2 linked regions of the Arabidopsis thaliana genome follow. The main gene of each other region encodes a partner of the protein of the gene in region 2 in a complex. Each region holds a gene or a part of one and is shown on either strand. Other genes may lie near its edges. A codon is read from its position in the direction of its gene.

Region 1 (3,012 bases), about 10 Mb from region 2:
CGATAGTCATTTGGAGTTTTAAATGTATATAGAATAAAGTATTTGTCAATAATACTTTAGTTGAGGGAATTAAAATGGATTCTTTATCTAATTATAGTAAACAATTACGCCGAACGTATGATAAACAAATTTTAATTATTTTTAATTGTAATTTGGAGGGTCGGCCGAGCGAGCCAACCCATGGGTTGTTCCAGAAATAATGTCGGCCATATGTCTTGATTTTGCCATACAGCACTCACCCCTTATCTTAGGCTGAGCGTGGCATAAATAGCCATCCGACCCTTTTTAATTTCTAACGGTGAGGCCCATCTTCTTTATATAAGCCCTTCTCTGCTCTCCTTCCCTCTCGTATTGCCGATGTGGGACAAAAAACTGTAACTACTTTTTTTTTTTTTTTCTCTCTTTAAACCATCATAAATCTAAAATAAAACTCCCTTAGAAATTGGTTTTGTTGTGTAGAGAGAAAGGGTTCAATCAAATACATGACAAAACATACAATATCTTAGCAAAATAACATTTACTCTGAGAACTTTTGTTTTTGGTTTTGAGTTATGACAAGTAAAAGTTATTGTGATAAGAAACAGAGAAAGCTTAAGATATAGACAGAAACTAGGGGTTGATGAAGTACATTGCTTGACCTTGAAGGTGATAAGAGTCTTTGTACTTCTTTAGACAGCCTTTATTAACTCCAATAAATTTCATGTTAAGTGCACACTACAAAACTTTTAGATTATTATACATTTTCATTATTGTAAAAAGAAGAGCATGGATGAACATTAAACAGTAATATAATTTGTTTTTTTATTAATGTTTAACAAAGTTACAATGCCTTATTTAATATCACTAATACTGCAACGACAAAGTTTTCTTTCAAAACTACATGTACGAATATACTTACCCCGTCTCATACAAGCTCTTGCGCAATCAAAACAGTAACCAATTCTCCCAATTTTAAGTTCTTGGTTCAGTGAGCGTGGATCAAAAGGACTTGTTGTTGGACTGAAAGAATATGTTCTCTCTTCATCACTAGATCCATTTATAAGTGTTGATGTACCTATCAAATTTTTAAAAGATATATCAAATTCTTAAACAGTTTTTATAATGATTATAATACTGACACATTATCCTAATTAAATAATTTAGACTTACATGAAGAAACAAAAATTAATAGAGTTAAGAATATAATAGGCAACTTCATTTCTTGGTAGAAATTAACCAATATCACAAAGAAAATATATTAAATATTATTGTGAATCGTTTTTCTTTTGTTTTGCTCTGGAGTATTAAAGCAATATTTAGTCATATTTATAGGCTCTGTAGATAAATATGTTATATAAAGAGTTAATTTTCATTTAAACGTTTTATTTTGTTATAAAGTAAATTTCAGTAACCTATTACGTTTGTTTTTGTTAAAAAATTATAATTGTTTAGTTATTAAAATCTGTTATATATTGGTATAAATAGTAATATACATCTAATAAGTGCAAACAATTACAGGTTTAAAACTTTATATTTCAAAAATTCTATTGAAGTTTACATTTTATTAGGAACTAAGACATATATATATATAATATAGTTTGATTAAAAAAAATCAAAAAGTTCTATATTATATATATATATATATATATATATACTAACTCATGATGCCTATCTTGCTTTTCTAACAAAACCTTAAATAACTTTTGGATTCCTTATTAATAGTTATGATCTTAAAGATGACCAAATCAGTTAAATTCTTATATGCCTCGAATCAATCCAAACTCTGAGAATATCTTAGCAAAATAACATTTACTCTGAGAATTTTTGTTTTTGGTTTTGAGTTATGACAAGTAAAAGTATTCTGATAAGAAACAGAGAAAGCTTAAGATATAGACAGAAACTAGGGGTTGATGAAGTACATTGCTTGACCTTGAAGGTGATAAGAGTCTTTGTACTTCTTTAGACCACCTTTATTAACCCCATTTACCATCCATTGATGTCTCTCAATCCAAGCCTCCCTCCCAAAGTCCAGAATTCCCAATATCTGTCTCAAATTTCAGTACATAAATACACAAAATCAAGAGTGGTAAGAAAATAAAAGATGCAAACAAATGCAAACGTACCGCTCCTCCTTTCCAAGTTACGAATTGTGGCTCCGTTCTTGATGGCAGAACCTGCACTGTATCAATGGCTTCAGTTGGAGGTATCGCGTGAAGAACTCTGAAACGCAAAGGAGAGAGGGACATAAACATTAGTTGAACAAAATACTCTGTTTAGTTGGATGTGCCTTCTGGATGTTAGAAAACGAAATGTTTGGTAAAGGAAACGAGCAAACCTTTCTTCCACTGCCGCTACAAGACCTTTCGTCAAACCAGCACCACCAATCTGAGAAGCCAAAAGAGAGAGAGAGTTCCAAGGTAACACATTCATGTATGAAGAGTTACATGGTAGCACATGATTTTAAGGAAGTACATGGCGAAAACTTGAGTGTGTAAAAAAAAAGGTTTTCAGGATCTACCAATTGAATGCTGGAGAAAAGCTTCCGTCTAAGGTCTATGCGTCCTACAAGCAAAGGAAGAAGAAAAGGATAACGTTTTTGTTAGGTGTTGATTTTTATATAATGCAGGAGGGTGCATCACAACATATACCAGCAGAGAGAATGCTGCTTGTAATGGCTTCAGCGAGACCAATCTTCTCTTCTTTCTTTGGTTTTGAAGGCGAAAATGCAAAACTATCCCACATTGGTAATCCCATGTTACCACCACCTCCAAAGTCCATGTTCCAAGTGTCTTCCAACATATTCTCGTAGTCTTGAAACCTAAACAATAGGTTTCAAATGAGTATCTCTCGGTCGACAACTAAACCAAAGAGAAGAATATAAGAAGGTTTAACTCTGACCATTGACGTGGTGGCTGGGGAAATATTTCAGGGACCAAAAGGTTAGGATAAAACAGACCCATTGGTGGAACCTGACATAACCAAACAAAAGATTTTCAAGACTAAAATCATAGGTGAGCATTGACAGCAAAATGG
Region 2 (4,849 bases):
AAGAAGCCAGCACTGAGAATAAGCCCAAAAGAGGGACATCATTGCTGAGTGGTTGGGGCCTACCATAAAAGTCTCAATTATTAATTAATTATAATTAAACTTAAGTATATAGGAAGAAGAAGACAAAACCTAATTTCTTTGTGGTCCTTTCATTAAAATTGACTTGCATGCAAAATTTTAATATGTCTTTGTTCGTATTCGAATCGAGTCTCCTACCCAATACTCAAGCTTTTGGGGTCCATTAATATGTCGCTCTTTATAAATCTCCTTACACAATGGGTTGCTTGTGTTTAAATTGTAAGCTTTTGATGGTTAAGACTTAGATTCAGGGATATATATGAAATCTGAAGAAGTTTATTATATCATATAGAAGACAACGTAGCTACATGTGAACTATCCTTTTTTAAAAAATACCACTAAACTAAATACTCAATTAGAAGAATGCGTTTCAAAGTCAAAAATTCAAATGAAAAGAATAACAGTGAAAAGACTTTACCACTGGTTGGTACTTTCGAATCTTTTGCATGCATTTTTAAATTCGATATTTCCCAAAATATAATGGTTAGTGTTAAAATAACAGTTTTCGATTTTCCTTGAAGAAAATAAGTGTTTACATTTAACCTTATTCTTTTGACTGAGAAAACGAGAAGAATTAAGAAAAGTAAAAAAAAGTGAAAATATTTGTATCTTTCTTGTGAACAGTTGTGCATTTCTTATGGAACGGAAAAGTTTTTTTTTTTTTTTTTTTTTTTTTTTTTAAATTTCATTGCAAAGATAGATCACTCCAACCACAAAAGAATTATAGAAGCCCTCCCAAGAAATACAAACCATTTTCCTATATACGTGCCCAATTTTTTCGTCCTTGTTTCACACTTAGCTTTGTCGTTAGTAGTATTACATCTACGGATTAATCCAAAGGTTTCTTTCTTCTCTTTAGAGTTTGATTGTTCCAACCGTGATTGCATGCTTTCTAAACACCACTTCAAGTTTTTACTTGTTCTATCCTTCTAACAGCTTCCCTCATGTCTAATCTCTCATCTGGATTACTTGCGATACAAGCAGCCCCAACCCGCAACAATTCCACCATCTGTCGCATTGATTCAGTATTGTTTACTATCTCCGGATCGATAAGTTCTTCTTCTTTTTGCTCCGCAACCGAAGATTGTACCCATTGTACTATATCCGTCCCGCCTTTACCGTTGTTTAAGTATTGAGAAGGGAATTTCCCCGTCAAGATCTCTAGAATTATAATTCCGAGGCAGTAGACGTCTGATTTATGCGAGACCTGTTGTGTCTGCGCGAACTCGGGAGTCTTGAAAGCAAACAATGCTTGCGATGCGTTGCTTGGTTGGAGAAGCGGTAAGAATGCGTAATCACTGATCAAAGGCTCGTAGGTCTCGCTGAGGAGAACATTGCTGGATTTGAGGTTACCGTGTGGTAGATCATAAGACGCAAACTCCTCGTGCAAGAACTTCATTCCGTGAGCCACTCCTTGGATGATCTTCAATCTTGTTGCCCAAGTTAGCTCGGAATGGTATATCCCACGATCTCCTTGAGAAAAAAAAAATACCAAAGATTATTAAAGGTTTCCTAAAATGTTTTAACTGGCAAGAAATTTGCTTTTGAGAGGTCTTATAAAAAGGAACAAATTAAAGAAGCATTTCGGTTACCATGTAAAACGTAAAGCAAGCTGCTTTTAGGCATGTATTCGGAGACTACAAGCTTCTCTTCGCGGCGGTAGTGATAGGCTAAAGGGGTCAAAATGTTAGGGTGGCGGAGTTTCCCGAATCGTCTCATCTCGACATCGAAAGGTTCACGTGCAAGTTGATTCATATCCCTAATCCTTTTCACCACAACGGATAATCCAGTGGTCATCACCGCCTTGTAAGCTGATCCAAGGCTACCGTTGCCAAGCACCTCGGCTGCAGCCTTCATCAGATCGGGTAAACCGAAGGAACCTTTGTCGGTATTCACCATAATAATGTCACCCATACCACCGCCTAGAGCTCCTCCTCCTCCTCCGTTACCACCTTTACCAATATTCGACACACCTTTCTTGGTGGAACCGTCATCCGAGTGCCCACCGCGCTTCCTGCTTGAATCTGTAGACCTTTTGGCGGTCGTGGATGAAGACTCGGATATCCTGACTTCCACAACATCGTTTTCACGGTTGTTGGCGAGCATTCTAAAGTCAGGGTTCTTCTTCTTATTTCGCCTCTTTATAACGCCAACAATAATAAAGAACAGGAGAAGAAGCGATATCGACACCATGATTGCGTTTATTGCGGCCTTGTTCGAGGTTTCTGGTACCGAGGAGGATGGTTTCGACGGGGGTTGTCCTTCTTGCGGATCGTTTAGCTCAATATTCTCACATCCAACGTCCACCACCGGCCCGCACAAGTATTCGTTCTCTGTCAAATTAACAGCGAGATTTTTCTTATCCGCAATGCTTTGCGGGACGATTCCATCGAGGCTGTTGGTTGAGAGGTCGAGGACTTTAAGGTTCTTCATGCTGCCAAACTCTGGAGGTATCTCTCCGGTGAGGTTATTACTTTGCATGTGAAGCTCCTCGAGTTGAGGGAGCTGCGTAATGGAGGAAGGGATACTTCCCTCGAACTTGTTATGATCAAGAAATAGTCGCTTGAGCTTTGACATGTCCTTGAAAAAATCGTCACGGATCTCTCCGGAGAAGCTGTTGTTAGAGAGCATGAGAGATTTTAGGCCACGGAGTTTAAAGAAATGCGGGAGAGGACCGGAGAGGAGGTTGTTGTCAAGCCTGATCGTCTTTAGATTTGGGAGATCCTTTAAATCATCCACGGTGATGGTTCCTGAGAGACCTAGACGTGTGACGTGAATGCCTGAGACTGTTAGACCCTTTTGGCAATAGATCCCAAACCATTTCCCACTGCAAGGATCTGTCCCTTCTCTCCATGAATTTAGGTCCCCTTTGGTTATCTTCACCGAGTTTTTGAACCGCACAAGCGGTTCGGACTCGCTCACATACTGCAAAGAAGGGGAGATTGAGAAAGATAAGAGGAGGATGAGGAGAAAGAAACCGGGATTCAGAACAGCAGCAGCCATGGATTGAAGAGAGGAGATGCTCTTTTTCTTTTTCTTGTTCTTGTTGGGATGTTACGTCTTAAAACAAGGACAATGTTTTTGATAATGATGATGATGCTCTATAGTTTGTTGAAAGGTGTGGTTTTGTTTAGATTGTGTTTGTTGTTCCAAACTTTGGACATTGTCTGTTTGTGAAGGTTGAGAAGGAAAGGGTGGCATTTTTTCTTTGATTGAATTAGTTGTCAAAGTTTAGACTTTTTTTTAAGCCAAAAATAGTGTTTTTGTTATAATTTTTGTAATCCTATTTGCTTGTTTCTGAGAGCTTTGAGAATTTTTTGATAAGGATCTTGAAGTTTAATCTTATACATTTGCATCTCTATCTATTTCTTTTTCAACAGGTAAATGTCTCATCACTGTTATAGAAACTGAAATAATTAGTATCTTAAAATTCGGACAAATCGAATAGGTTTCCAGTCGATTCATATGTCTCGGGTTATTTGCGCACATTTAGGCAGCATCAAATTCATGCTTTTAAGGAAAAATGCTTAGTGCTTAGGCAGAATCCAAACGATAACACATGAACTATTTAGAAGTAACTCTAAAATTTTCTTTTAATCGATCAAAGACAAATTCCAAGAGTTAGAATCTGTTCTGTAAAATATGGTCGAAACCAAACCCCGGTATGGTTACGATAACGACAATACGTCTATGATACCCAGAGCTTTGGTTTTGTACCAAAATAAATACTAACTTACACCTCCTGCCGCTAAAACTTCAATGTGTGTTGTAGAAAGCTATCAAAGGCTGGCTTTGATTTGGCTCAAGCCCTTTCTCTGAACTTTTCTGTTGATTGATGCAACAGCTGTAACTTGAAAACTTAGATCATTGCAAAAAGGATTTCATTCCACGTATCAGGAACACCGGGCAAGCACCAATGGAGGCAATCCTGAACTCCCCGTGAAGCCGAGATACTGAACCGTGATATGTGACCTTCGTCTCTAATATGAGATAAGGCTGTTATGTCTAAAAGCTTAACCCCTGTACCTTTCACTGCACGACCCGCGCTGTAGTCGCTTGACTCCTCTTGCAAAACTTCTTTCCCGATAGACATTGGGGTTGTGTTATTGCAGCTCCCTCCGGTGTTCCATTCCCCACCCACGAAATGTCTCGGTGAAAGGCTTCTGTAGAATGCCTTGAGACCGGGATGGAGAGGGAGTTGTGAGTTAACCCAACTAACTGTGCTGTGGATTGTGAAATTCTTGGCGTTCCCAAGAGCAGCTAACTTCCTGTTAGTGTTGGGAACGCCATTAACATGCATCACCCATTTGTTCCCGTTGAGCTTCCCGCGGTTCCAATGGTGACCTGTGTTCATTACCAATACGTCGATCTTTTGAAGGTATTGGCGTAAAAACGCTGGTGGGCGATCAAGATGCATAGCGTGTTCAGTTGCGGGGTCAGTGATGTTGAGCGGTTCTATGTCGCACAGTGTAGATGACCAGTGGTATAGGACCGTTGTGTTAGTTTCTGGGAATCTGTAAGCCCAACCACCAGGACGAGCTCCACCTTCGGGAGTTATGAACCCAAATTCTGGTCCCACATCAAGGACATCGAGTCTCTCTTTGCCTCCCGAGATCATACACATCATAGACTGAAACTGTTGTCTTCCCAACGAGTCTCCAACAAAGGCTAGGGTTTTGTTCTTCATCCTGAGGGAATTTGTAAAATAGAGCCACGCACTGTTACTAAGGACTTGATGGGAATATTTGACAACGTCTATGGATTAACACAT

What was found.
Region 1: the proteins of PRK6 (region 2) and LURE1.2 are in contact, whole or in part, in a crystal structure (PDB 5Y9W), measured with the Arabidopsis thaliana proteins. Residues at the interface, in NP_197569.2 of Arabidopsis thaliana: Glu226 (codon at 2,406), Tyr227 (codon at 2,403), Leu228 (codon at 2,400), Cys229 (codon at 2,397), Gly230 (codon at 2,394), Pro231 (codon at 2,391), Val233 (codon at 2,385), Asp234 (codon at 2,382), Val235 (codon at 2,379), Gly236 (codon at 2,376), Cys237 (codon at 2,373), Glu238 (codon at 2,370), Asn239 (codon at 2,367), Ile240 (codon at 2,364), Leu242 (codon at 2,358); in NP_001078701.1 of Arabidopsis thaliana: Tyr57 (codon at 935), Asp60 (codon at 926), Cys61 (codon at 923), Ala64 (codon at 914), Arg68 (codon at 902), Arg73 (codon at 887), Thr74 (codon at 884), Cys75 (codon at 881), Ser76 (codon at 878), Arg79 (codon at 869), Lys80 (codon at 866), Leu81 (codon at 863), Cys82 (codon at 860), Arg83 (codon at 857), Cys84 (codon at 854), Ser85 (codon at 851), Ile86 (codon at 848), Ser87 (codon at 845).

Annotation. Positions count from the first base shown.
Region 1 is NC_003076.8:17,472,297-17,475,308, reverse strand, and holds LURE1.2 (Putative membrane lipoprotein), read right to left. Parts: upstream 1,261-3,012; 5' UTR 1,199-1,260; coding exon 1,150-1,198; intron 1,055-1,149; coding exon 831-1,054; 3' UTR 824-830; downstream 1-823. Other genes in the region: ARP9 (actin-related protein 9), read right to left, coding at 1,880-2,023, 2,103-2,199, 2,315-2,364, 2,498-2,541, 2,628-2,797, 2,878-2,948. UniProt on the Arabidopsis thaliana protein: Pollen tube attractants guiding pollen tubes to the ovular micropyle. Attracts specifically pollen tubes from A.thaliana, but not those from A.lyrata. Triggers endocytosis of MDIS1 in the pollen tube tip.
Region 2 is NC_003076.8:7,000,685-7,005,533, reverse strand, and holds PRK6 (Leucine-rich repeat protein kinase family protein), read right to left. Parts: upstream 3,082-4,849; coding exon 1,671-3,081; intron 1,552-1,670; coding exon 983-1,551; 3' UTR 759-982; downstream 1-758. Other genes in the region: TBL16 (TRICHOME BIREFRINGENCE-LIKE 16), read right to left, coding at 3,938-4,766. UniProt on the Arabidopsis thaliana protein: Key receptor for sensing species-specific attractants in cooperation with other pollen receptor-like kinases. Essential for pollen tube reorientation toward attractant peptides.